4 linked regions of the Tamandua tetradactyla genome follow. The protein of the gene in region 2 interacts with the protein of the main gene of each other region in a biochemical or structural test. Links are inferred from orthologs where the notes say so. Each region holds a gene or a part of one and is shown on either strand. Other genes may lie near its edges. The genes, in order: APPL1, RAB5A, CHML and RBSN.

Region 1 (6,877 bases), about 40 Mb from region 2:
TTATCAGAGAGGTTAAAATGTGGGGGAAAAATATGTGTCTCAAGACTATTTCACAGTATGCTCAAGAGAGAAGTTTGCATGTGGGAGTGTGGCTTTCTTAAGTTTTACCATGGATGAATCAATGATAAAATACCTATCTACGCATAAAATCAATTATATTTTTAAAGATCATCCCTGTTTCTACCCAAGAAGTTTCAATTTGTATCTGATTTTCAAAACTATAAATGTGGACAAGTCATCATGTATAGTCTTAAGATTTTCTGTCTCAACATATGACCTATCTTTTGAGAATGGTGTGGTTCGTGCGTGATAATTCTAAAGATGCTTATAATACATCAGCTGGACTTGGACTTACAAATCCCCCTCTATTTCAATACTTAGTTCCTGTAAAGTAGTTCTAAAAAAGGGATAACTGTAATTCAAAATAGGCTTACATGACTCCCAGTTAACATTTTTACATAGCAACTGACAGGCCATCTTTAATATCAAACGTTCTAATAAAAAAAAACTAACCATATTAGGAGCTCTAAAGGTTTTCAAATTCTTTGCCGTTTTATTTCTTGGACTCTATCCTAAGAAAATAGTCCAGGATGAAAACAAAAATTAATGGCCAAAGGCATTCATTTCAGCCCTACTTATTAGAGTGAATGTTTCAAAAAATCCTAGAAGTCCAAGTAAAAGCAGTTGAGGAAATGTGCAGCCCTTAAACTTGTTTATTCAAAATATAATAACATGAAGATTCTTAAGCTATAATGTCAAGTTAAAAGCAAGATAAAAATTGCTATGCACAATATAATCTCAATTACATCAAAATACAAAGAAAAAAGACTGCACTAAAGAAAACAAACTGTTAACAGGGTTTCCTGATGGGTGTATCAGAGGTATATGTGTGTACTCTTTCTGAACCTTCAAATTTTTCTGAAGCAAACAACTATGATTTTTAAAATCAGGAATAAAAATAAAAACATTCATTATCTATAACAGCTAAGGTTCAAAGAAGCTGAGTTATTCATCCTAAAGCAGAAGGTACTAGGGAGTCAAGTCTATAACTCTTACCTTCTAAACCCCAGATCCAGGGCTTTCCATCCTGCCCCAGGTTCTCCCTAAGAATTACCTCCAAGTTTCATCCCTTCGTAAATCCCAGTTGTCCCAACTGATCCCATATAAACATTACCTAGTTCAAAAGTACTGCTTCTAGAAAGTAAAAGAATATCAATGTGGCCTATTTCATTAAAGATTACTGTAGAACTGATATTAATATGACCTGTGCCTTTAAAAACATTAATACTCAAGGTGCACAGGTGGTTCAGTGAAGAAAGTCATTAAGAAGAATTTGCACTAATGATTCTGGTAATCAAGATAATCCAAATATGGGTTTCTCTTAGTGTTAAGTACAGGCTTTCATTGGTCTTCTCCAAAGACTTCCCACCTGGGGGCATCAGAAGGCTTTCAGCATCTCCCGAGAAAAACCTATCTACTCCTTTTCTTCTAAGGCTTGCAAAGCCTCAGAAATCAAAGTCGACCGGTTTTTTGTTTTTTTTTTTTTGCCCCTTCCGCATTTTCTCCGAAACGGTCTGCGGGAAAGTTCCAGGACCGGGATTTATCACGGGGCATCACTTCGATAAAAACAAATAAAAGAGAAACCCGCGCGCATATTTCCAGGACTCTGAAGATAACTTTCAGAATGAAAAACAGAACAAAATCAGTTCCACAATCAGGGTCCAATTGTAACTTGACAAAACTGGCAAAAATTTCAGGCAGAAATACCACCCAAGAGGAGGAAATCCAGACCTTTCTTCCTGTCCTTCTTTTGGGGCCATATCAAACTACCAAGACGTGGAAAATCTTTAATTATAGCTATAAATGGACAGTATTTCAGAAATTTTCCTTTCTGCATGGCATCCAGCCAACAGTATCGTCTTAAATCGCTTACATTATTGTGTAAAAGACAGGCTTACAGATGAAGTGTTTCTGTGCAAGTTACAGCCCCCACCGATAACTTTTTTCTCAGCATAAGTGATTACATTCTCCAATACTGAACAAATATAAAATGGTCAAGTTTTGCTGGAGTGACTTAAGCCAGAGCAATCACACAGCATCATCCCCAATGGACCAAACACAGAACACGAGGCTCTTATTTTGATTACTTTACTAAGGCCAACTCTGCATCCAAGGACGAGGATCCGCGAAGAAGTAGTACATCACACGCCGTGCACAGCTCGAGTGACAGCGGGACAGTCGCGGCCACGACAGCGAACACACTTGGCAGGGAGGGGCGGATTCTAGCTCCGGGACTTTCATTGGTCTTCTCCAAAGACTCCCCACCCGGGGACATCAGGAGGCTTTCAGCATCTCCCGAGGAAAACCTATCTACCCCTTTTCTTCTCCGGCTTGCAAAGCCTTCAGAAATCAAAGTCGACCGGTTTTTTTTTTGCCCCTTCCGCATTTTCTCCGAAACGGTCTGCGGGAAAGTTTCAGGACCGAGATTTATCACGGCGCATCACTTCGATAAAAACAAATAAAAGAGAAACCCGCGCGCATTATGTCACCATGGGCCCACGCGCGAAGGCGGCGGCTTTGGGCTCAACCTGCGGACGTCCGGGAAACAGTGCGCGGCTCTCGGCCCAGCCGCGCAGGCCCACGCGGGCCGCGGGCCTCGGGAGGCAGGCCCCGGCCTCGGCGGCTCCGGGCACCGCCCGCGACCGGCCCGACGGGCGGGGGCACTCGCACGGGGGCGCCCACCTGGGCCCCGGGGGTACCTGCGGCGGCGGCGGCGGCGCCAGGCCCCGGGTCGTCCCGCCGCGCTCAGCTGCTAACCGCCCGCGCCTCACCTGCGGGCTGTCCTCCAGCGTCTCCTCGATAGGCAGCTTGTCGATCCCGGGCATCGTGGCGGAGGGAGGGCGGCGGTAGGAGACGCGAAGGCCGACCCGCCCGCAGCAGCTGACCTCGGCCCGCCCTCCCTCGCAAGCGCCGCAGCCGTCGTCGCCACTCGGCGCCGCCTTCTCTAGGCCCTAAGCGAGCGCGCGGGAAATCCCGCCCCCTGGCCCACCCTGCCTCGCCTCCCGCGTGCCCATTGGTTCGCGGCGACGCCCGTCAGCGCTGCGAGACTGGCTGGGAGGTCCTTTCGCAGAGCGGTGCTGTGTGGCGGGCGCTAGCTCCCAGGCGGTGGAGACCGCGGAGGCGGCACTAACAGTGTTCGGTGGGTGTCTTCTCGACCACCGCGCGTTTGGATGATTGGTAGGGGACTGTCTCCCCCACGGCGTGCGAAGGCGGGCAACCAGACCCTCGAGTGAGGACCATACTGGGGAATTTTGACGGTTTCACTTCTCCTGCAACTTCTTTCGTGAGAGACCTTGGAAAAAGCCCTGATGCTGGCTGGCTCCTTCCTTTAGTTTCTCGCATTGTTACCTTCTCGCATTATTACCTGGGTGCTTCCTGTCCGGAGCACCCAGCAAAATGGTGCTAGGAGACGCAGATCTCAGTGACCTGTGATTTCTGGTAAATTCTTGGACAGTGGACTCGACGTTTCCTTTCTAGGCACTTGGATATCAGTATATTCCGTTGAAAACGTGACTTTTCCGCCACTTCGTCAGTTCTAACACCTGCAGTTCAGACTTCCATATTTCCATTAAATTACAAATGAAAATGCAAATATCTTTTTTAAATCAAGGTTCACGAGTTCATTATATTAGTAACTGCTTAGCATTTCTGTCAAATCAGAAAAATTTGGAAAAGGCTTTAAATAGATTCTCCAGCCTCTAATTTTGCAGTAGAGAAAAGTGACGCTCAAAGAAGTTGAGGATTCCACCAGATCAATACCAGAAGCTGGGTCTTCCTCCTACCTTTTTTACTGTTCCCCAAACTTACACTGCCTCATTTATTTTTCTGCAGGATAATAAGAAGCTTTCATCGGTATAGGGAGAAAATGGCAAAATCACTTAGTGTCTTCTAAAAATAAAGCCATTAATCCTGTCATTCCGTTCAATTTTCATTTAAGAAATATAAGAGATGCTGAGCAAAGAGTGTTAGCTGCCTGATTCCACAGATACATTGCGAAGAAATCCAAATAAAGTGGAGAACAAATCCAAACACAGTGACAGGAATGGAAGTTACATATTTTAAGCTAAAAGACTAGGTTTCCCCATGATCTCTTGAAGGAAAGATAAAATCAGCTTAAAAACATTTTGTCAAGTAGACCTGCAATGCAGTGCCACAGAATTATCCTTTAAATGATAGATATTTCTTGGACTGTTTTGCTATAAATAGCTAGTGACATTCTAGAAGAGGTCTTCAGTTTTAGAGAAAGACGATTTGGAGTAAGTTTATATGTTGTTAGCAGTGGGATTCCCAGATGCTTATTGTACCCAGCATCATGCACACCCCACCAACCCAGCTCTGCCCTTCCTGCCTCTTTTCTACACTGCCAGCAAGAGTGCTTGCAACCTTGCTCTGGAAAGGAAGACTCTTAAGGTAAGTGACCTTCTGGATAGAACTGCGATTTGGATTATAAATAAAGGAGAAAGTATAGAAAACTGGTAAATGTAAGAAGTAAGTGACAGGTGAAAATAAAGTCTCAGAAATAAGCGTAATCATATGAGGTAAACCAGTGGGGAATTACTCACAAGTCAAACTGAATAATTCCAGTGAAAAATTCGGTTGTCTGAGTGGGGTATTATCATCAAGTTAAATAGTTTCCTCTTTTGTGTATTTTGTACGTACAAATTGTTGCTGTAGAGAACTTTCAAGAGACTGTTACATCACCAGAGAGGGACAAGGAATTCTTGTCAGGCTCAGCGGGTTGAAAGAAAAAACAAAAACCACACTCGACCTGCCGCTACCTGGGGCAAGTGACCCCACGAAGGCTCAGATGCTCAGTCCAAGATCATCGTGAAAAGCCAACGAGGGGCGCTTCTACCGCTCACCCTCCTGGCTGAAGAGCCTGGACCAGCAGAGAGCTCAGGGTTGAAGCTTTGAGAGAAGCAGCAACTACTGTTGAGCAACAGAAAGAAATCCTCTTGGAAATGATCCGCAGTATCTAAAAGAGCACATGAGGCAGATTAGCAATGAAGAAAGAGTATTAAATCCAACCACAAATCGTTTGATGGGACGAACTCTCCACCCCACTGAGACTTCCACTGTTGAAGTCTCAGTGGAAGCAATTAGAAACCTCCAGCACAAGGAATCTCTAAAGCATGCCACCAGAATTATCGATGAGGTAGTCATTAAGTTTCTCGATGATCTGGGAAATGCCAGGAGATGTTTAATGTCGCTGTACAGTGCATGTATCTGAGGTACCCCCTGGGCCAGTTGATCAGAAATTTCAATCTATCGTAATTAGCTGTGCTGTTAAAGATCAGAAGAAAAGAGAAAATTAGAGATTCTACCTAGAAATATTGAAATCTCTGACAGGGCCATCAAGCAATTAGAACATTCTAAAGCAGCTGGTTCCAAAATTCTGTAACAAAATTCTCAAAGCAGATTAAATTAGTTTTCAACCTTAAGAACACTTACAAATAATGATATCAAAATGAGAAAATACTAGTTTAAGTGATGACTAGTTCTTTATGTTAGGCATAACCACTCATTTGAAAGAGAATGACTTTCATTCTCATTCAGATGCAAAAGTTTCAGATGAAAACATGAGTATGGTGAATAACACAATTAAAACTAGAAAATTTTTAATTATTTCAAGTTCTAGTTTTTAGATTGAATTCTTGTTTTGTAGAAATATCTAGCACCTACTATTTACTTTTTAACTAATATAATATATATATGATTACATAGTTTGCAGGGGAAAATAAATGCTCCGTTGGGGCAAAAGGCTTCACTGCTCTTTCCTCTGCTTTGCCTGGCATGGAAACTCATGGGCATGTGGGGCATTTAGTTGACTAGAAATTCTTTACCTTACGTAGCACACACTGTGCATGTATTGTTATCAAAGCACTGTATTTAAAAGGATAAAATAAATTGCGAAACATGATCCCTACCATATGTCTTTCATTCAACAAAAAATTTGAGGGCATCTGTATCAAATTTTTTTTTTTTTTAAACATGGGCAGGCACTGGGAATCGAACCCGGGTCCACTGGCATGGCAGGCGAACATTCTTGCCTGCTGAGCCACCGCGGCCCGCCCTCAAAGTGTTTTTTAACTTTAAAGATTTATGTGTCTTATAATATGAATGTATCTTTTGATGTACATGAAAACATGACATAAAATGTGAGGAAAAACCACCAAGAATTTTACCACTGAATAATTATATATTTATTTTATATGTTTTTAAATGCATTATTTCTATAAAATTTTAATTACAAAAACAAAAAAACAGACTGACAGACAATTGGGTAGAAATGTGGTTTAATTGATTATAAATCTGGAAGAATCTTAAAACAGCTGTGATGGTTAGGTTCTGGTGTCAGCTTGGCCAAGTTATAATGCCCAGTTATCTGGTCAGACAAACAACTGGCCTGACGGGTGCTGCAACAATATTTGTGGCTGGTTGATAAACTGGAAAGCTTGGTGTGTTAAATCATCAGTCAGTTGATCGGGTCTGTGGCTGATTACATCCAAGATCAACTAAGGCCTGTCCCCCACCAAAGAGATAATCCTATCAGTTGAAGATTTTTAAGGAAGAAGAGAGACTTTTCCACTGCTTCTTCAGCCAGCGAGACTCTCTTGTGGAATTCGTCCAGACTCTTCATCAGAGCTGCCAGCTTCACAGTCTGCACTGCGGATTTTGGACTTCCATTCCCACGATTGTATGAGCCACCTTTATAAGTCTCATATTTATTGCTATCTGCTGTTGGTTCTGTTTCTCTAGAGAACCCTGACTAATACAGCTTCTAATTGGATTCTCTAACTTTAGGCCACTGAATACC
Region 2 (6,893 bases):
GGTTAAGTAACTTCACTAAGGTCACAGAGTTACTCAGGCAACCCAGGAGGTGATCCAGAGTTCAGGTTCCAGAGTTAAACTACATGGGGAAAATAATTTTGAGGACAAATAAATGGGAAGCTCTTAGACCATATTCTAACACTTACTAAGAGTATAATAAATGTTGGTTATTACTATTTGAAGGTTTCTATTAAATAGTACATGTTTTTCATTAAGTAATGTTAATTTAGGAAAAACAAATATTTTAAGGCCCTAGGTTTGTGTAACTAGTGGCTAAGACTTAAAACAGTTTCATCTGCTCAAGAATATCACACCACAGAAATGTTAACAGTGATTCTCTGTCTGGAACGATTATTAATGATTTATTTACTCACATTTTTCTGTAGTTTTTGAGCTAACAATGAATACGCCATTATTTTCTATTTAACAATACATTTAAAAAAATTATTCTAGAGTCAAACTTCTGTTTTTACTTCTTACCTAATAATGCTAATTATCAACCTCAACAGGAATTATTAAATATTTAAAAAATCTATTCCCTTTCCCAGACTACTCAGAAATCAATCAGTAGTTTACTCCCGTTTAATCGAGATCTGATCATGTGCTTGCTCATCAATAATATTAAACCCATGAATGATTCCTAACCTAAGAACCCTGTTAAATTTCAAGCAGCTGACCTGTATAAGAAATTTGCCTTCCTGATAAAATTTGAATATATATAAGACACACTCTTGGTAACGAATTTAATAAACATATATATCCACAAAACCTTATGATTAAGACAGCCTGCCCTGTTTACTTGACACCAATTACTGAGGTGTCTATCTTTTAGGAAAACATAATGAATGGATAAAATGCTATTATGACTTGAGAGGTGCCTTCAAACAATTGGAGGTATAAATAAAACAAGATTGGCCATGAGATTAGCGAAGCTGGATGATGGATTCATTACACAATTCTCCCTAGTTCTGTATACACTTAGTATTTTTCATGATTAAAAAAGTCACAACTCCTCAACATCCCTCAAACACACCAGACATGGGAATCTAATCCTGGCAATACCAATTCCTGGGCAAGTTCTTTAACTAAGTCTCCATTTCTGTAATACCTAACTTGCAGAGGTGCTGTGAAAATCAAATGAGAGTATATATAAAGAATCTCAATAAAGTACCCAATACATAATAGGGATTAAATACTGGCAATTAATGTAGCCATTTGATAGTGATTAAGTATCAGTAGCATGTCACCTAGACTGAAAATACGCCAGTACACTTTCAAATAATTCTATACATAATACCAAGTAAAACCCTCCCCAATTGTTTGTACTATGTTATCTTCAAAACAGCCAACAAGGACAACTAGTTCAGAACGTCTATGGTGCTTCCAAAATTCCAGTGAAAACATCAGATTCCCATATAAAACAAAGGAGTCTGACTTAGCTAGGTCTCTAATGTTTAAAGCTACTGGATTTTGGCTATCCCAAAGTTCTCAAATGAGAAACAAATGGAATTTAATTATAAATATGCAGTTAACATAAAATTGTATGTGCATTCATTTGTATTATTTACAGAAACTTTTGCCGTGCAAACTGAGGAGTGTGCATAACGTGCATTTTAAACTTTTTAAAAATAATTCCTATTCTGTAGCTAAATTCCTTCTAAGTGCTCTTTGGCCAAAATTTTATTAACAGCTAACAGTGAATGGACACCTACTTTGTGCATGGCACTGTTATATGAATTTAACTCACGACAACCCCATGAGCTCATATTATTATCCCCATTTTACATTAGGAGTAAAGTTTCTGAATCGTCCTGAATGATTATTATAGTGGTTAAACAAGTATTTTTTTTTCCTGCTAGTTATGTGAAAGGTAACTGCCTAAATAGTTTGCTGCCACTTAAGGAAAAACCAAAAGTCAAATATGTGAATTATGACGTTCAGAGCTTCAAGTCTGAAAGTCTCAGGGAGAGGGGAGTATCCAACTTCCTGGGAACAGAATCCAGAGCAGGTTTCATGGTGTCTACCCACTGAGGATGTTCAGCGTCCTTGTTATCTTGAATCTCTTTAAAATTGCAGTTCACCACCTTTTATAGAGACATGGGTCTCTAAGAGCCTCTTTTGAGAAGACTCCTTCTAACATTGCCCATCCGAAGAAGTCGAGGGTAGGCGGGGCTTCCCCAATTCACACCTGCTGTAGGCCCGGCTCCCCTCTGGAGTCTCTGAGTACCTCATACATACCCAATTTCTGAGCGCCTGAACAAGAAGGACCCGCCAGGCCACTTGGCCATCTTTCCCATCCTCCTCCCCCGAACCTGGCCTGGCTTTGGCTGGGACCCCCAGGACAGAAGGCAGGCGGAGCCGCGGCCTCCAGTACTCTTTCTACGGCGCCATCTTGAGAAGGGAAGAGGGTGACACCCGTCGCTCCTTAACCAGTCCCCAAATCCCGGTCCCCAAGACCGGCTGGGTCAGATGCCGAGTTCTACAACTCTGAGCGCGAGCACTAGTACGAGGCAGGGGGCTCAGTGCCCGCGGGGCCACGGGCAGGCTGGGGTCCGCTTTGCCTGGATTCGTGTCAGCTTTGGGCAGGGGGAGGGGTCGGTTTGGTTACCTGGACACAGCGCACGGGGCTGCGGGGCCGAAGCTTCCTGGCAGAGGTCCCAGACGCGGCCTGAAGTACGGGACTGAGACTGAGGCTGTGAGTGTGGCTCCGGCAGCGACGGTGTCTCCTCCTCGCGTCGCTCCCCTCAAACTGGATGGTGTGGGGCTCGTGCTGCTGGTGCCGCCCCCGTCGGGCTCCGTCCCCGCCTCTCTCCGCTCCGCCTTCCTCTTTCTTTTCTCCTCCTCCGCCGCAGCCGGCGCTCGGGTTCTGACTACTTCTTCCTCCTCCTCCCTCCTCAGCCTCCTCCCCTTAGGCCCAGCCGCCGGCTCCTTCACGAACCAAAACACAAACACTCAAGTCCCAGCGAGAGAGCCACTTCCGCCGGGCGGCGTCACCCCGCCGCCACGTCGCTGCACGTAGAAAACTACGACCTTTCGTCACTTCCTGTCGTCACCCGTCGGTCCGCTCCATCTACAACCCCACCCGCTCAAAGCCCCGCCCATCCAGGCCTCCTTTGCTGGACCGGGCGGGGTGTGTCACGTGGCCGCTACGAGCGTCCAGGGTCGGGGACTGAGGCTTCTTTTCCTCTTGGGTCCCTAGCGCTAGCGGACCTGCCCTCGCCGGCGCCATTGTTATCTGATCCGGGCTTTCTGGGCTCTGGGCGGAGGTTTGAGGAACACTCCCGGACCCTGCTTTGGGGGAGGACCCGAAGGAATTAGTGTATTTTTTCCAGGTCGTGGGGCGGTGAGGCTCTTTCATGAATATAAGGTCACAGTCGCACTCTCCGCATCGCGAGTAGCCCTGAGCAACTCAGCTCAAGGGACTTGGTTTTGAAGGAATTTATCCAGCACCAGAGACTTGCGGCGGCAGTCCCTCACCTGTTACTGGAGGTGGGTGGGACGTAAAGGGTGTATGTCATATCCCCTCCACGGAGCGGATAGGACCCTCCCCATCAACAAAGCTGTCATTGGCAGGGGCGTTGGGGGGGGGGGGGACAGGGATCTTAATAATTACCTTTTTTTGAGAGTTTATTGGTCGTGAGGGGCAAGTTCTAAAATAAAACCTATCTTTAATTCAGTTTTCCCTTCGCTAGTTACTGTTCGCCGGAGTTAACCCACTTTATTACGAAGATTACGCTCTGTTAACTAACTTGTTTAAATTCTACTTCTCTACATGAGGATATTAACCCTAGAGAGATCGTCTAGCATGATGCCTGGACATAGGAATCTTCAGAGCCTATTTAACGGGTGAAGAAATTGAAGCGCGGAGATTTAGTAATTTGTTTAAAATCACACCTAGTTGGTGATGAAACGGAATTCTAGCCTTCAGAACTTTAGTTCTTAAACATAGATTCAACTGAAAGCCAGCCCACCCTCCACAGCAGACTTAGGGCATGCGTCTTTGGTCAAATCTCACATAATAGACAAGGCATTTATTGTTTCTGTCTCCCGTTCCCCGCATTTTTATAGTAATTTGGTAGAAGAATGTTAAATTGATTTTCCTTCGGAATGAGGGCTATTTTTCAGTTGTAATGTTCAGGGTTTTTTTTAGTCCTATTGTAAAGGCATCAATAGTTGTCTTGGAAGGGTACTTGGGGCAAGGTATCCTGTGGATCTCCCTCAGCATTATGCAATGAAGATGATTTGAATCCTTGAACAGCCAGTCTTGCAGATCAACTCCCCAATTACTAACCAAAAAAGCATTATGTGTCATACATAAATGGTATCTGTGACACCTTGTCCCCAGAGGGTTGTTCCAGTATGATGTATTAGTCATGGTTATACCTTTTGGACAATCTCAGCAATAATCAGGAAGTAGGATATGTCAACAGCATGTTTAAAAACAAACCCATTGTGCCCTAAACCTGTTCCTTTTCATGCCTGGCATTAACAGCCTCCCAGTCACCAGGACTTGAAAATGAAGAATCATTTTTAACTCTTCCTTTCTCCCTCAAAAACCATTATGCATTCTATTATAAAAAATTCTCTAATCCCCAAATCTGGGCTCTTAATCCCAAACCCTGCCCCATGGTAATAGTCATATAAATTGGAATTAATACACACTATTGCCATTTCAATCCACTTTTCACACTTTTGCCAGCCACTCCTCTACTCAATAATGTTCAATGGCTTCTCATTACTTGTTAAAAGAGTAAAAACTTCTTCAGTGCTAGTCTCAACCCACCTTTCTTGCATTCTATTTCCAAATTCTCCTTCTCCCTCAAAGTTTTGCTTTGTGCCCTAACCTCGCTAGTGTACTCTGTGTTCCCTAATTATCTGTGTGTTCCCATTTTAGCTTTTTTGCTCACTTTGTTCTCTCTACCTTGAATATCATTACCACTCATCATTGCTGATCTTTCCTTGGCTGGGATGCCAACTCCTTGGATGGCATCTGGAGATACTTCTAATGGATTTAATTTTATTTTTTCTGTACTTTCATGATACTTTGCTTACCCTCTATAATTGTTCTCCTATCATCTTGCTTTATGTTACAGTTCGAGAATGCCTAAACTTTTCTTCTCAGCCCTTCATTACCCTTAGAATTATAAATTTCTTAAAGGTCAGTACCATAATTTTTTCATTATTTCAGTTCCTCACAGAGACTTATAGGGCCTTAAAAGTTATAGGGACCCCCAATTTATTAGTCAAACTTATTTACATTGAGAGTGGTGAACATTTGGCTTATGAAGACCTCACAAATAACACATGGGATGCGTAAACTTATGAATTGTTACAAATTCCCCCATTAAATCTTTCTAGTATATTGCTTCCTCCTTTATTTTTTTGGTGCATGGTCTGGAAATCGAACCCGGGTCTCCCTCATGAAAGAGGAACAGTCTACCGCTGAACACCTGTGCACCACCTCCTTTGTTTTTGTTTAGAGTCTGTCTTTTATTTCACATCCTCCATGAATACATTCCACAATATTTTGCAGTTTAGTCTTAATGTTTATCTGAAGAGTGCTGTGCCAGTGGCTGGCACCTCTAAGATGCAGAGGTATATTTTTAGAGAAACTGAAATGCCACAGTAAAGCTTTGCTCTTGAATTGCCACTCACAGTATGCCTGTTTTCTTTTTCCTGACCCCAGATAACGAGGAGGATTGATAATTGTCATGTATTTTATGGTTCCTAGAATTTGTTAAGGAAGCTGTGAAATGAATGGGGCCTAAGTAAAATCGCAAGGACTTAAATCCTGCCTTAGTGCTTACATTCCCCTCAAATCTACAGACATTTAATACTAAATTCTCATCACTTTGGCTCTCTCAATCACTCACAGCACCCAGATCTTCTACTTTCTCGTCGAGGAAGTCTGTCCTGCCTTGTGTACTTGAAGAATAATCTTTTGCATAGATGGTCACGTATGGTAACATTTTATTTTAGTTGGGACTATCTTAGACAAACTAAAATTTGTCTGGAGGCAAAACCAAATAGTAACTCTGACATAAGGAGTTTTAAGCCTGGTATCAAGGTAATAAGAGAAAAGATTGTAGAACCCTGAGCTGGCCATGTTTAAAAATTTTGTGTTGTTTGAGAGCATCATTCAGTTCTCAGCTCAAATGTCACCTACCTAGGAGTGAAACTTCCAATTTTTAAGTAGCTTCCTCCCATATCACACCATTCTGTGTTCTTCAAATACTTATCAGTATCTGAAGTTATCTTATTTATTGGTTTACTTGATGGTTATGTATCCCCCACTAGAATTTAAATTACATGAAACCAGGGGTTGGTTTATTCTCTATTGTATCCCCAGCACTAACACAATGTAGGGACTCAATACATATTTGTAGAATAAAGAATTGAATGAGCCTTTATACAGACATACCTTGATTTACACATCATCAAGTCAGACACCATCAAGTCATTTAATGCTCTTAGGGAGAGAAGGATATTAACTAGACAATTATATTGTAAACATTTTTTAAAATGTGAGATAGTATCCTTTAGTCACTTTTTTAAACTTTGGATGCTACAAAATTTTCATAGTGTTCTTGCAAAGACCAGAATCCTGTAAATTCCATTCAAATTTCAGGCTAGGTGTCCTATATCCACTATGTGTTTAGGACATGACAAATACTGACCCTATAAAATCAATTTAAAGAATAACCTGTACTTAAAAATAGTCAAGTTTGAGTTTGTCACATTTAGAGTGACAAATACATTATGCATTTTTGCATTATTGTATAGCATATGCTATACAATATGCATTATTGTATAGCATAGATATTTCAGGCTTTGTTAGATTTACTTTAAATACTACTAAAGGCTAGTTGTTAAGGTTTAAGTGTTCTCAAGGA
Region 3 (7,775 bases), on a different chromosome or scaffold from region 2:
TTCAACCAGATCAATCTTGAATTATTCACTAAATTCTCTGTGAAATGAACCTCCCAAGAATTAGTTCTTAAACTAAGAACTGAACTCTCCAACTTTTTTTGTAATGTAGAAGCCTGTGGTGTTATCATTCACTGCCCCAGTTGTTTATATGGGTCAGGCTGATGTATTTGTAAGACGTATTTCAAACATCAGACCTCCACAAAGAATAAAGGATCAAACCAAGCTAATCTTTCTCACAATCGTAGTTAAATATATTTTATCATATTGGCACTTGTATTACTTGCAATGCCATCATCATGCCTACATGTTATATTACAAAAAAACCATATAATTTACTTTGTGTTTCACTATTCAAACAGATCTCCTCGGAAAGCAGAGGAGACAGAAACTTATAACAGCTACAAAAGTATTTATACTATTTCTTAGATACTGTTTTGTAAACAATGGTAAAATCTAAAGATCAGCAGATACAAATTACCTTCCTTTAAGCAGAGTTCCTAGTAATGAAACCTCACATATGTACCTAATTCCAAAATAAAGCAAATGCAGTTTAAGGTTTTGGATCAGGGAGTCTATCTGGCAGCCAAAAAAATGTCCAATAAGTAATAAATCAGTTACTGAAAGATTAACAAAGGCTTCCAAACACTGAATGTCTCAAATTTAACAGCAACATCTGCAAACATAGCATTTATCATATAACCACTTCTAATATGTCCTTTAAATGAGAATGTTCTGATGCCAGGATGAAGGTCCAAAATGGAATTTCCAGTTTGCTTTTTCTAATTTTAAAGGTGCTTCCCTGGGTTTTCTAGGTTTTTTATTTCTTCAGTGGATTCTACTTTGGCCATTACTATATTATTGGTTCCAGGAGCCTCTGACTGCTTATCATCACCATCAAAGATAATGTCTTCTGGATTTGGAGGTGGGGGGCAGAATTCTTCATCTGGAAAGATCTCCCGGAAAAGTGTCTCAGCTTGCTTGACTGCATGCTCATTTCCCAGACCACAGTCAGGCCCAGAGCAGATATAAACATTGGAAGGTAAGCCATTATATGAGCTTCTGCCTATTTCAGAAGAATCTCTCATGTTATAATAAAGAGCCCACAAGAGTCTTGGCTTTGTTAGTCCTTCCTTATCTATTTCTGTTTCATCATATGGAGTGAATAATTTCTTCACCACTGATTCTTCTAAGTCTTCTCTCGCTGTTTTAGAAGATGGACATGTCAGATGTACCAGATAGGTATCTTTCATGCATGTCATGGTTGAAGAACATAATTCAGTCACCCGAATGGCACAACTTTCTGGTTCTGCTGGAGGCACTATCAAAATGGAAATCTGCTGATCTGAATCTGTCTTTAGTATAGACTGATCTGTAATGAGCACTGCCCTGGAGATCTGCTTATACTGCACATTTGAGCATGTTTCCTCAGAAAGGTAACTGTCCTCCACAATAAAATATTTAGCATTTATTCTTTGACCAAAGTGATCTATAACTGCTTTACATCTTCCAGAATCTTTGTCAACTACAAGGCATTGTACTTTATGGCGGAGACAATAGATTCCACCAAAAACTGCACACATCCTGCAGAAACACTGGGGAATTTCTCCTTGGCCATACAAGGGAAATAAAAAAGGTGTGTTGCCGAACCGTCCCAGACACTGCAGGAAGTTTTTTGTTGCTTTAAGGCCATCTAACGTAGTGCAAGATGACTGTGATGTCATTGCAATTGAGTGCAGTACAAAATGCTGGAGGTTGGGAGTTAGTTTTTTAGTTTTTAAGTACTCTGAAAACGAACACTGCGTGAAAGCTTGGTATTCATCAGGATGTTGTTCGTAGTCTATACAAAATGTAAGAAATTTCATTAGCATTCTCTTTTCAACCATTGTGAGTTCTTTGCTATTAAAGACATCTGCTCTGGAACAAGGCACCTGTTCTACTTTTCCTTCCCGAAATGCAAGAATCCTAGTGACATTTTTAAATTCTGCATATCGACTTACATTTGATTTGATTAAAAGATCAATTAGCAATCCTTGAGAAAACAGCAGCTTTGATACCAAATCAATATTAAATCTTCTGCCTTCTTTAACTATTTGAGAGTAAGTAACCCTATTTTTCTTTGGTTGATCAGTGTTGTCTTCTACCATAGGTTTGCTTTCATCTTTACCTCCATCTAAAACTGTGTGAAAAGTTTTATCTCCACAATCATTTTCCTTCTCCAGAATTTCCTCTACATCATTTACTTCTAGTGAAACCCCTTTATCACTTTTTGGAGTGTCTTTGGCAGGCATTTCATAGTTAGTATTGCATAAGTGGCTTTCTTTGGGTACACATGCAGAATCCAGAGGTTCAGTGAGAGTACTAGATGCCACTGAGGAAGGATTTTTCTGCAGGGCACCAATTTCTTCAACATTGTCATCCAAATCCTGATTGGCATAACAAAAAACTTCTATGTGTTGAATGGTTGCATCCTTTTTGCGAAGAGTAATGGCTTCTTCGGTTTCATGGATCAGGTCTTGCCATGCAGCTGTTCTTTCTTCTGAATCATCACTGTTTTGCTGATATTCTTTCAACCAGGATAACAATCCTGAAAAGCTGAAACTAGCCCAGTTTCCTCCATAATAACTTCGTGAATCAACATGCAGAACCCTCTGACCACTCCTTGAACATGCAGCTGCAAGGATGGATTCAGGCAAACCTGTCCCTATTATAACCACATCAAACTCTGTAGGGAGATTGTCCGCCATTCTGGGAACTAAAGCACCTGCTGACAACTGCCGATGAAGGAAATGTTTATGAATCTAGGCTGTGGGCTCAGCTGAGGTATGAGTATGCCAAGATCAAATCTCTTCTTGTGATGTTCCAGTTTATCCCAGAAGCAGAGGTTACAGTCCTAGCTGTTTAACTACTACTCTTTTTTGGGGGGTATTTTTTTCTTACAGGTCAGTAGCATAAAAACATGACAAAGTACATCTAATCACATTTGAGAATACCAAAACTGATGTGTGGTTTTCATTTCTGCATTTCATCTTAGCAGTAAATGTCAAAATGCATCACATATGCATTTGTGACTGGAACTCTTCTCTGAAAGAAGAAAATTCAAGAAAGAATACAATTGTAAACATTAAAAGAGAAAAATAATTTCATGTAATAACAATTATAGTCTATTGAAATCTGACTTGTTACCTGGATAAAACCTCTGCTAGCCCAAGTCATTAAATACACACTTACATATATTCTTATTTCTTTAAAAAAATGAACAGTACAGATATACTTCCCCAAATCAGGCAATTCAATAATCAAGAATGGACATAATACTATCCCACAAAAATAAAGAATTAACATAATAAAATATATAACATTGGTTTTAATAAAACTAGTATTTGAGTAAAACGTAAAACTATATATAGCTGTGAGCTTAGAAATGTGTGACTCCAAAAAAAAAAAATAAATAAGAAAGAAATGTCTGACTGCATTGTGTTTGTGGAAACAGATTATGTATTATGTGACTACTGCCATGATCATGACCGTGACCAGTACAGTCTGTAGGTGATTCTGCACCAGCCAATTAGGTCTTTTCAGGCCTCAACCACCCTTAGGATCTTGTAGCAAAATGAGGGTTTGAGTATTTCTATTGAATTAACCAGTCAGTGTATTAACAAAAGATTAACTCAGCAAAGCCACTGGCATTTTTTTAAACCTGGAGATATGAAGTATAGACCTACTGAGGAGGGATATTTATTTATAACTCTTTATATCAATGTACACAAGTACATGTGTGCTTTATAGAGGTAATAAGCTACAAAATTCCTGGGTTCAAATGTTAAAATATATTAACATATTTAACACTTGCTTCTAACACTAAAGAGAGTGATTTCTGCTTCTTGTCAGACTTTGTCTCGGCAACCCTGACTCTCTGTGTCCCAAGAAATAGGTCTATTTAAACATTCTCTTGAAAGACCAACTTGTTTTCTGTTGTTCTTGGTTTTGAAGGCATGAAGGTGGTAGTTACAAAAGGCTCTCCTGTTAACTTCTGGTATAATACTTGTTATATTCCATGTGCAAGTCTGAAAGTAGGTGTGGCCAGAGGTGAACAGCCGAGGTACTGAAGGGTATACTTACCTGGATATGCCCTTTCCTTTCACCTCCCACACCTATGTGTGAATTCTGCCTTCACACACTACACTGCTAGGGAGCCCTTCTAACTATCAGTCATCTTTGCACAGCAAGAGTGAGAATTCTTTAAACTCTGATTTCCCTTTCTGCTTAACTTAACTGAAATCTAGCTCAGTACAAGCTGGGCCTGCCTAGGCTAATGTGATTAATTATTTTAGACATAAGTAAAACAAGCCATCCAACTGGAATTATATTAAATAGATTAGTTCACTGAACTGGACAGTTTAACTGAAATGACAATTCTCACAGTTCTGTCTAGTCAAAGCTTCTGCCTCAAGAATAGTAGGGATTTCATTTATTTGGGGTATTTTCTGAGAAATCGGGAATTAAGCAGAGAATGAAAGAAATGCCTGACCCACTCAAGCATTTATGTAAGTAAGTCTGAATTATTTATTCTTACTTCTTCCAGCAAGGTGTGAAGAGGGAGATAGAACCCATGAGGTTATCTTTAGAAGACTGACCATAGTATGTGCTTATTCTTGGCTTAGAGGAAATAGGGGCTGAGGGCAGAGTAAGGAGAGAGGACACAGCTCTAAATGCTAAGATCAGGTTCCTTCTAACCTATAGATAGCAAAGGAGTCATTAAAAACATAGTGTGAAACCTGAGGGAACATTTTGCTCAACTACTCCATAATAAAGATGAGAATAGACATGTAGAGATTAACAGACTTGGGGAAGTCCACACAATTTGTCAGTCACAGATTCAAGAGCGCAACCTACTCTTGTGCCAACTGGCCAGATGCCTCTGGATGAAGCAGAAATGTCCAGCTTTTAAAATTTCCTCTGCCATGGTTGATTAGTTCTTGCCCAGGGATAACAATGAGGGAAGCACCTCCCTTTCTGCATCTTTAACCCTAATCTAGACGTACAAATCTGGGACTTTACTCCACGCAATGAAATTCTTAATTTTTGCTATGAACTTCTTAAGCTCCATCATAACCCCATTACTGACTTGTCTCCCAAGGCTTAAACAAGTCTCAGAACCTCTTACCCTGAATTTCTACCTCTAATTTAAAAACAGGAATAAAGACAGGGATGAAAGCACTAACTAAATGCCAAGAAAAACAGAGCAGTCTTCAGGTAAAACACCGTGTGGTAAACATTTCCAGCATTAGAAAATCACTTTTGATTGGGATGGAATCAAGCAGGGAAGGTGAAAAAGAAAAAAAAAGGAGGTGACAAGGAGACCGAAGAGGGTGGGACAGGCAGAGGGATGAGGTAAGGAAACAGAACAGATGATGGTAATAAAAAAGAAGTCAATATACCCTTGCTTTTAAACTCCCAGCATAGAGATGGGATATAAATAGAATTTCCCAGCACTAGAAAAGGTATTTTGTGGAAATAAGAACTTTCATGTATATGATCAAACACCTGTTGCCCATCTTTGGTACTATTACTATTGGCTTGCACTTGAATCACCCTCTTTAAAGTTTAGCCTCACCTTAAAAATTGCCTGATAGGTATTTTTAAATTAATATAAAGAAAATAATAGCATAGCCATCTATAGTGCCACCTACATACACTTATAGCTCCCTTTCCAAGTTTCAAATATGTCCAAATGAAATCCCCACGTTAAAGCTTGGTGGTAGTTCAGGGGAATGGTATCAAAACTATTTAAGCAATCAAATAAATGAAATCATAATCCCTATGATATTTTCTTTGTTTCCCAAAAATACCTAAAAATGAATCACAACAAATATCATAATTGAATTTGTCAGAGCATAGTAGGTTGGTAAACAAGAAAATGTTTTTGATAATGCTACAAAGATTATGTTCTCCAAAACCTTGCAAGATAAAAGCAGTAATAAATTACTAATGGATTTCAGCATACAAAAGGAAATTTAAGACCTGAGAAGTACACATCTCTATCTCAAATTTTATACAAATGAAATTCCTAGAGTACACAAAAAATAATTTATTTTCCAAGCTTGAGACTCCTCTCAAGAGAAACTTAATTCTTCCATAAGGATTGGGAATATTGTAGAACCAAATCTTCAATTAACAATCAAGTTCTGCTTTAATGAATCTAAAGGTTGCACAGCTAATTACTTGTTCACCTGAGTTGAGATTCTCTGAGTCATTTGCAATCTCACCTTAGATTTTGGTTTCATAGGACCTATAAGGAAAAAAATACAGTAAAAGTAGCTTATAGGGTACAAGCCAATTTGCACTCTAAAGACCTAAATTAAACGCTCACTCCCTAAGAAGCATTCAAAGGTTTACAGTTGCTAATAAGCAAAACCAAAAAAAAAAAAAATTTTACACATTGCTCTTTAATGTGTAACTTATCTCTCACTTTAGGGAAAAAACTGTGTATGCATTAAATTTCTTTCCGTCACCCACTCCAACATTGCTAAGTTAATCACTGTTTTTCTTGACTCTCTTGTCTCTACAGCCCCTCGTTTCTTTTCTCAAAGTGTAAAAGCCGTTGTGTCGTGACCTGTTGAATTACATTAGGAGGTGAAAAAGGAGAAATGAGATGACCTGGGCAGGGGCTGAGTAGAGTTAGGGAGGAACTGGAGTTAAAAGGACAACTGCGGGTGAAGACAGGCTGGGGTTCAGCGTCTACCTGGGGGATCGGAATCGCGGCCAGTGGGAGGGAAGGAAGCGATGAGGCAAGGAAGGAAGGGGCGCCGTGCAACCGGGGGTGGCAGCGTGACAGGAGCGTGGGACAGAGCACGGCGGTGGCCGGGAGCGCGAGCGGGAAGGCGCGGGGGGCGGCTTGGGCGGCAAGCTGTCGCAGGGGTGGTGGCACTGCGGGAAACGGGAAGTTTGCAGTGGAGAGAAAGCTTTCTCCTCCCAGCCCAACTCACCGAAGAGGCTGCTGCTAAACCCGTCCCACGCGCAGCCCACGGTGTCCCAGACCCAGCCGTTCCTCAGGCAGGATACGAACGTAAAGGTGACTCCGAAGAGGGACACCAGCAGGTCGCTGAAGCTGATGTTGACCAGGAAGAGGTTGGTGGGAGTGCGGAGCCGCTGGAACTTGTAGTACAGGATGAGCACCAGCAGGTTGTTGCCGGCGCCCAGCAGCCCAATGGAGCCGATCAGGAGCGCCAGGCGCTCGTAGGTGCCCGGGCTGAAGAGGGGCGCCGGGCTGAGCGTCCCCGTCGGCCCCGCTCCCTGGGCGCCCGCGCCCCCGCCGACCTCCCAGTAGTCTCGGCCGCCGCTTCGGTTCCCCGAGTACATGGCCCGGCGCCGGCGCGCTGGGCGGGCGGAGGCGCTCAGCGTTCACCACAGCCCTCGGCGCCCTCCGCACTGGGTGGGGCCTCAGCTCGGGCTCAGGGTGCAGCCATCCGAAGCCGCCGAGACCGCGAGGCGTCGCGGGAACTGGCAGGCAGCCGCTTCCGCCCGGCGCGCCTCCTGACCACGCCCCCTCGCGTAGCGTGTCATCGTGACCACGCCCCCTCCTTTCGCCGGTCCCTCCCCCGGGCTCCAGCGCGCACCAGCGAGCGTGGACTAGCTGCCACTGGGGCGCGCCGACATGGTAGGGCAGAAGCGAGGGAAGTCAACTGCAGAGCTCTCCCTCCACGAGCTTGGAAGTATCATGTCCGTTCACACATTTACTCATTCACTTATGGAATCATTCATTCATAAATATTTCT
Region 4 (7,996 bases), on a different chromosome or scaffold from region 2:
AACAACGAATTGTGAAAACAGCATCCAAACCTGTTTAAGCATATCACCTTCAGAAATGCTTCCTGAGAAGCAGAGTAGCTAACTTACTAGGTAAGTGAGTTCCAGAAAAGCTGCATCTAATTTAGGGATTAGAATCTGAAGTCCAGGAAAATGACAAACACAATGCACAGTTAAAAATTCTTTCTTCAACTCTCCAGGACCTGAACCCCAGGAAGCTCAAAAGCCATTCCTTAGTTTTTTTCTTTGCTTTTCAAGTCTGACCTTCTTTCTTCGGACTATAGAGAACAAAGTCTAGTTGAGGAAGAAAGGCTGGTGGGAAGACCTGAATCTATGACAGGTAAATGGTGCATAAGTTACCTCCATATTAATAGTAAAGGAAAGGAATTCCACTCTAAAACCCTCTAGCCTGGTGGTTAAATAATTCAAAGAATCTAGCAAGAGAGAGCAGAATGTGGTACGATTTGAACCTAAATTCAAAGCCAGGTTCTGCCTCACTGTGTGACTTCTAGGCTAATTACCTAATTCCGGCTCATAATCATATAACCATTGTGAGATTTAAATTAACACAAGGGAAGAGTTTTGATCAATGCCTGGCATGTGGTAAACACTAGATGTATGTTCGGTAACTACTATTATTATTATCATATTCTGGTGGCAACATGGACGCTGATGAAAACCATCCCATGAGTTAAAGCTCCAGGTGACAGAATGGGACAAGCAAGATCCTTGCCTCTTACTTTTAATTTGCCCTTTGACATCACGGTCTTCCCCTGAGTGCTCTTCCTCATAATGTGACTGAAGCTGATAGAAAGACTGCAGGTCCTTCAGGCACAAAGGGCAGAGGAAGCCTTCCCGCACTTCCCCTGGGTCTTCCAAAGAAGCCATGGCAGTGCTCCTCTCAGTCCTGGCAAGGCAGTGGCCTCATGCGATTCCTCTGTGAGGCACCAGGGTTCCTGCAGCATTAGCTAACCAATGTCACATTGACAGTGAGAAAGTGGCATCATAACCCTGGATGAGGTTTCCTCTCTGGAGTAGGAAGAGCCCTAAGAAAGGAAAGAAGGGGAAAAGCCAATTCAGGCAAATTAGCAGCAATTAAGAATTCTTTGTTCTTTTCACAATTCACATAAAGTTTATTCAGTACAAGTCTGAGAAAACAAACTGTTGCCTCAAATCATCGGACCAAGACACTAAGATATGAGAGTATCACTGGACCATGGCAGCTAAATGACATGGGAAACAGATTCTCAAAGAAAGGAAAACTTAACTTCAAAAGCAAACACAGGGTGCAACGGTAGTTCAGTGGTAGAATTCTCACCAGCCATGCAGAGACCTGGGTTCGATTCCCGGCCTGTGCACGCCCCACCAGCAAAAAAAAATTCAACAAATGGTGCTGCAAGAATGGAATAGTCACATGGAAAAAGAATGAAATGTGACCACCACCATATAGCATACAAAAAAAAAAGCAAACACTTAATATGTTAAAGTTTACAACTAAAAAAGTTGTTTTTTTTTTTAAAAAGCAAACGCAATACTAAGGCAATACATTCAATATCCCAAATGATCCAACTTTATCATTTGTATGCCACTGTGGCCACTGGGGAAATTTCAGAAGTATTCATCATCAAGCACTAGCTTTTATTTGACTCCTTACCTTTCTCATTTCTTCAACCACATTTACTGAGCTCTTAGTACTTGCAAGGCAACTGTGCCAGTAAAGCAAAGATGAAAAAGGCACAATGCCTGCCCTAAACAAACAAACAAAAAACAAACCAACCTCAGTCTAAGGAGGAGCATTAGAAACCTATTGGTCAAAAAGAAAAATCCATTTTGTATTTTATATTTATAAAGCACTTTCTCTCCAATAGGCTTACTACATTTTATAAGCCAGTAAGTGGCAGTTGAGCAGCAAGCCTAATGTTCTCACAGCTTCAAAAATAAAAGGATTTGGTGCTCAAACAATTCAGAACGTAATAAGTTACATTTTCGGGCTTATCAAGCCATGGCAAAGTAACTTCCTAAGTCACCAAAGAAAGATTCCCAGCCATAGGGAGAATCCAGATCAAACCGTTCCTTAACAGCAGAAACTTCTCAGGAGCCACGGGGTCCCAGACCACAGCACAGAATGATAGAAAGAAGGGGACTATGTGGCCCTCGGCTTTGGATGGACTTGTTCAGAGAACCATTAGGGAGGGCTGCCTGGTTCTCAAAGCTGTAAGGTGGCAGTGACCTAGAAAATAAATAGTGACCCCAGGCTGGTTTTTTATTCTTTTAGCTAAGAAGTCCAATGAGTATACACACGCATTCCCAGCCCCTTTTCCATTTGGTCACTTAACCAGTAACCCAAGGTTTGATTAGTCCCCTCCCCAGTTGGTGGTTCATCAAACATTCTGACTCTGACAGCCCCCTTCCCTCCCATGCACTAACCCCATAACCACCACAAGCCAATCACAAACCACACACTCACGTTTCGCATCCCAGCTCAAAACTCACTTCCCCGAAGCAGCACCCCCCCGGAGCGGTGGCGTCCCTCCCCCCACATTTGGCAACCCCCTGCACTTCTCCTTCTCAACGCGAGAACCAAATACAAGGTGTCGGCAGACAACCATCTAAATCTCAGCCGCATAACCAAACACAACTGCTGGCGCCCAGCATAACCTCAAGCACGTACTGGCGAAAGGCACCACACGAACGCCCCCACCTCGCACCTCACACGTCACACCCACCGCAACCAAACACATCCCACAGTCACACGGCCCGCCCATCTCGGTTCCCGAAGGGTACCGCGTCCCCTAACGGCAGGTTCGGCCCGGTCCTCGGTACCCGGCTAGACTCCCGCGGACGCGCTAACCTGTTCAGTCCTCGGGCCCAGACTCTGGACCTTCAATCCTTCACACCGCCGCGACCGCGGCAGCCATCGCCATCGGCTGCTCGGCGCTCCTCAGGTGCGCCTGCGGCGGTCTCGAAACCGGAAGATAGGCTGACAGTCGCCCGTCGAGCGCCGAGTCTTCGAGGGCGCGAAGTGGGCGGGGACGGATTCGAATAGCTCGGGGCGGGCCAGCGGCTTTTGCGCAGGCGCCGTAGGAAAGAGGAGGGTGAGGGACGCCGTAATTTTGCGGCATTTTGACATTCCGCATACTTTGATACGGCCGCAGCGCCTATCGTACAGATGAGGAAATCGAGGCCTCAAGTTCTTTGTCCCTTGTTCAGAATGCCCTGTGAGCCACCCGAGGGTTTTTTAACGCCTCCTAGTACACCCTGAACTGCAGTCTGAATTAATCCCTGAGAGATAAGAGAAGGAATCTACAGGAGGCTTAAAGGATGTGGAAATATTCGGAAGAGAAACACACATGCGGGTGAGGGCTTGGAATGGGAAGGCGTAATTCGGGAGGTGTATATCATGGGGAAACCTGTAGCATTTTCAGAACACAGAACGGATCTGTCAGTACCAACTCCGTTCCCTGCACTGGGCTGGGTACCACCCGGCATTAGAGACACAACCTCATCCCAGTCCCGTGGGTGTTCCTGTAGGACGCTGGGCGTAGCAATGGCCTGGGCTCCAGAAGCAGAAGCTGCAGAACATGGTGGGCAGTCTGGGCTTAGATTCCGGATGTTACTTGACCTCTTTGACCCGAACACCTTAAGTACAAAGGGGATATCAGTCTTCGCCTCAAAGAGTTGTTTTAGATTTAAATACTGTGACTTTAGGGGCTCCGTATTGCTGGCTTCACCTACCTTGCTTTCCCTTTCTCCAAAGAGTCCTCCCCAGCAAATCTGTGGACAGGAGCACTGGTTCTGTGCTTAGACTGGGCCTATGTCACCTACGGTTTGAAGACATGGGCTCTCAGTTTGGACAGTATGGAGTTTTTGGAAGGGGATCGCCACTAAAAGAGCAATGAGCCAGGAGTCAGGTTCTAGTCCTGGCTGTCCTTTACTCTGTGACTTTGAACAGATGGCGTCTCCTCTCTGGATCTCAGTTTCCCCATATGCACAGACAAATGCTTCCAAAGACTTACAAACTCTTTTTGTCCCCCAACCTGATTTTTTTTTAATTCTGTTTTTTTAACTTTACAAGATCAGCAGGGGTAGGCAATGACTATCTTTCAAGTATTGGCATAAAGAAGGGACTTGCAAACCTATCAAAAGAAAAGCAACAAGCCCCTCCTTCACCAGCCTCTGTCTTGGGGTGGGAGAGCCAGGACTTGAAGAGAGAAAATATCATCTTAAATGCCTGGGGCCAAACAAATGCCAGGAGGAGCCACAATTACAAGGAAGATTGTGGTTGAGGTCAGGGAAGGAAGCTTTTTTTTTTCTCGTAGGCAGGCACCAGGAATAGAACCCCAGTCTTCAACATGGCAGGCGAGAAGTCTGCCTGCTGAGCCCCCATGGCCCACCCAGGAGGAAACTTTTATTAAACAGTTATGAGTTATTATTTACAAAACTCTGTCACAGTCACTGTTTCATTTGCTCCAAACAGCAGTAGCAATGTGACCAGCAGCTTGTGAATTAATTCTGGAAATCATCACAGATTGGCCCCTGCTTTTCTATTAATAGTTTTAAGAATAATGATAGCAAAGCCTTTCCTGTTTGATTTACGGCCTATAAAAGCACTTTCATATTCAATGTTAGTTAAGCCTTCCAACATCTCTGTTGTTTCCATTATAAAAATAATAATGATGACTAATATTTACTAAACAATTAGCATGTACTAGGCACTGTCCTATGTTCTTTACATGTCTTAACTCATTTAATTTTCCCACAACCCTGTGAGGTACAAACTAATACTGTTTCCATCTCATAGATGAGAAATCTGACACAGGAAAATTAAAATAATGATAGCTACAAAACTAAAAAACAAAAACTAAGCAACGAAATTAATGACCAAAGGACTAGCAGGCACTTGTCTGGAGAATTGGCAAAGGGTGTGCCAGGCTGGGTGGTATCTAGGAGACACAGCTGTCAGCTGCCCAAGTCTGTCAAGAAGGAAGCAGGAAAAGGAGGAAAGGAAAGAAGGAGGAATGAAAGAGGAAAGCCCATAGGGAAGGAGGGAGGGAAAGAATCGAATCACAAGAAAGAGTTAAGAGGTAGGACAGCCTTGTAGTTAAAAGCACAAAACTCTGGAAACAGTCACCCTAGGTTTGAATCCCTGGGTTGAATCTGCCACTTGTTTGATCCCAGACAGGTCATTAAATTCTCTCAGTTTCAATTTACTCATCTGTAAAATGAGATAAGAGTGCTTACCTCCTGCATCGGAGAATTAAATAAGTTAATATTTGAAAAGTGCTAGAACAGTCTCTGGCACGTAGGAAGGACTGACAATATAAATGTTTGTTGCAGGTGTGCATGCATCATGCTCATATCCAGTTCCAGCCAGGTCATTCCCTCTCACTCTGGGTCTCTCTTTGCAGCTGAGAACATGGGCAGGGTAGCTGCCCAAGTCAGTGCTGTGTGTATGTCTGGGTAACATTTGTCGGTCACCCACTGCAGAAGCAGTTTTCAGAAAATTTGTAACTGATCAAGAGATTTCAGATAATTGGAGTATAGACAGTGCCACAATATCCAATTATGAGATAGGAAACCCTCCTGATTATCAAGGGCAAAATTGCATGAAGAAGCATGACATTCCTATGGGTCACGTTGCCTGGCAGGTTACCAAAGAAGACTTTGCACATTTGATTATATATTGTGTATGGATGAAAGCAATCTGAGAGACTTGAATAGAGAAGGTAGTGAAGTTAAAAACTGCAAAGTAAAAATTGAACTACTTGGGAGCTATGATCCCCCAAACCAACTCATTTTTGAAGATCCCTATTATAGGAATGACTGACTTTGAGGCTGTGTACCAGTAGTGTGTTGGGTGCTCAAAGCATTTTTGGAGAAGTCACAGTAAAAGCTGCATCCATTCATTACTGAAGGCCAATCATGATGAACATCTTCACAGTGATGTTCTAGGTTTTTCAACTGTGCAAAAAGTGTAAAGTTTTATAGCTCAAGTCCACAACTTTTTTTAACTGACTTATTGTTTATCCTAAAAAAAATTGTAAAAAAAAATTATAGATGGAAATCAGTGTTGTGTTTGCAGAAGAATTAATAAAAATCTCTGATTCAGACAGCTTATGGGGTACATTAAATTTTCTTAAACAAATTGGATCTCTTCTCTTGCCCCAATTACAAAAATAGTGGAACAAACAAAATAGAACTATAAAACATAACGTTTTGTGTGTTTTGTAACGATCATTTCTTTTCAGTATTTAACCTTAAGGTACTATCCAGTGATGACTAGATTTCTAATATGTTTAATTATGATCTTAATAAATAATTAAACATCACTTTCAGGCCCAAGTCAATATCTGAGCCCATTGAGACTTCTAAATAATCTATCTCTTTAATAAGCCAACATGTATAACTTGATGGACAAATGTCTTCTCTTCACCTATACTACCTCTTTTTTTTTGATCCCAGGGCTTTTTGTTGAATTACATGCTCCCCTAGTCATAGGAGTTCACAATCTTGATTACAAGTATATTGATTCACACATACCCAGAGTCACATTTGTATGTTAAAAGGATAGGAAAGAGAATGATTTATGGTATAAATCTTTAGCGTTAGTCTTAATTTTTCTTTATCAAGTTTATTTCATGAGGCACTCAACTTTTTGCTCCCATTTGGACCACTTTGCCTCTGAAAATTTAATTATATCCAGAGAGGACACTGTATCCTGTTTAATCTTATGCTCACTTTGACAAATGTGTATGATTTATATGAACATATAACCCAAGTGTCAAATATGATATATTGGCTTATATGGGAAAAAATCATTTAAAAAACTGGAAAAAGAATTCTATTAAGTTGAAGTCATGTTCTTTTATCAGTGTTTCATTTATAGTTAACTACTATGTACTTTGAGATAACTATAATTTCAGATTCATTTGGATATATATCAGAAAAGGTTGTTTTCAAAATAAACTGGTGAGTATAAAAATACAAAAAAAAATTTTTGTTGCATAAAGAAAAAAGAAGGGAGGTGTCACACAAATGCCTTAGCGGTTGTGACAGCTGAGTCAGACAATACCATAGGAGGTGCAAGGATCCAGGCTGGTGTCATGGAAATATTTTTGAGTCATGGTCCTGCCATATGGGAAGTCTTTGAAGAGAACTCAGAATAGAATTAAATAGTAACTAGATTCATTGAATCCAAAATCTGTGGCAGGGGAGTGGGGGACTTAACAAACCTAAACTATCAGAAATATGGATTGCCTTGTGGTATGTGGGCTGCAAGGTCACCCAATTTACAGGTTTGGAACTGGCCTCTCCTTTGGCACAGCAGGACAATCGCCAGCCTAAAGGGGCCTTTGACAAATGCAAGAGGGGGTCCCTTCTTCCACCAGCCACAGCCCTGTGACAAGATTCAAGCCTTGCACTTAGCAAGTAGAGTACTGTTTCAGTTTTCTAAAGCTGCTGGGAAGCAATATACCAGAAATGGGTTGGATTTTACCGAGGGGAATTTTTAGGTTACAGATTTACAGGTCTAAGGTCATGAAAATGTCTGAATTTAAGGCGTCAACAAGATGATACCTGGACCCTGAAGAAAGGCCAGCCTCTGGAACACCTATGTCAGCTGGGATGTGGCTGGCATCTGCTGGTCCTTGCTCCTGGTTCGTTGCTTTCAACTTCTGATTCCAGGAGCCTTTCTTAGCTTCTCCGGTGCAAACTCTGCATTTCATCTCTTAGCTTAGCATCTCCTGGGATGTTTTCCGTCTCCAAGTATCTGTGCTTTCTCCAAAAGGTCTCCCTCTTAAGGGACTTCTGTAAATGGATTCAGACCTATCCTGAATGGGCTGGGTCACATCTAACAACCTAATCAAAGGGTCTCACCCAACAATAGATCTGCCCCCACAAGATTGGATGAAAAGAACTTAGCTTTTCTGGGGTACATAACAGTTTCAAACCCAGCACGGGCATGGAATGGATTTTTATTCCCATTCACCCCTCAAATGTG

What was found.
Region 1: the proteins of RAB5A (region 2) and APPL1 form a complex in vitro, tested with the Homo sapiens proteins (2 studies listed by BioGRID and IntAct, with this or other methods). The link is inferred for Tamandua tetradactyla from reciprocal best matches to the Homo sapiens genes RAB5A and APPL1.
Region 3: the proteins of RAB5A (region 2) and CHML form a complex in vitro, tested with the Homo sapiens proteins (2 studies listed by BioGRID). The link is inferred for Tamandua tetradactyla from reciprocal best matches to the Homo sapiens genes RAB5A and CHML.
Region 4: the proteins of RAB5A (region 2) and RBSN form a complex in vitro, tested with the Homo sapiens proteins (3 studies listed by BioGRID, with this or other methods). The link is inferred for Tamandua tetradactyla from reciprocal best matches to the Homo sapiens genes RAB5A and RBSN.

The regions. Positions count from the first base shown.
Region 1 is NC_135341.1:27,903,509-27,910,385, forward strand, and holds the start of APPL1 (DCC-interacting protein 13-alpha), read right to left. Parts: upstream 3,013-6,877; 5' UTR 2,886-3,012; coding exon 2,832-2,885; intron 1-2,831. UniProt on the Homo sapiens protein: Multifunctional adapter protein that binds to various membrane receptors, nuclear factors and signaling proteins to regulate many processes, such as cell proliferation, immune response, endosomal trafficking and cell metabolism.
Region 2 is NC_135341.1:68,345,816-68,352,708, forward strand, and holds the start of RAB5A (ras-related protein Rab-5A), read right to left. Parts: upstream 3,019-6,893; 5' UTR 2,609-3,018; intron 1-2,608. UniProt on the Homo sapiens protein: The small GTPases Rab are key regulators of intracellular membrane trafficking, from the formation of transport vesicles to their fusion with membranes.
Region 3 is NC_135333.1:12,778,172-12,785,946, forward strand, and holds CHML (rab proteins geranylgeranyltransferase component A 2), read right to left. Parts: upstream 3,016-7,775; 5' UTR 2,745-3,015; coding exon 786-2,744; 3' UTR 115-785; downstream 1-114. Other genes in the region: OPN3 (opsin-3), read right to left, coding at 6,987-7,359. UniProt on the Homo sapiens protein: Substrate-binding subunit (component A) of the Rab geranylgeranyltransferase (GGTase) complex. Binds unprenylated Rab proteins and presents the substrate peptide to the catalytic component B.
Region 4 is NC_135335.1:35,137,928-35,145,923, forward strand, and holds the start of RBSN (rabenosyn-5), read right to left. Parts: upstream 3,004-7,996; 5' UTR 2,849-3,003; intron 2,700-2,848; exon of another isoform or gene 2,669-2,699; intron 1,746-2,668; 5' UTR 1,652-1,745; intron 1,044-1,651; 5' UTR 886-1,043; coding exon 738-885; intron 1-737. UniProt on the Homo sapiens protein: Rab4/Rab5 effector protein acting in early endocytic membrane fusion and membrane trafficking of recycling endosomes. Required for endosome fusion either homotypically or with clathrin coated vesicles.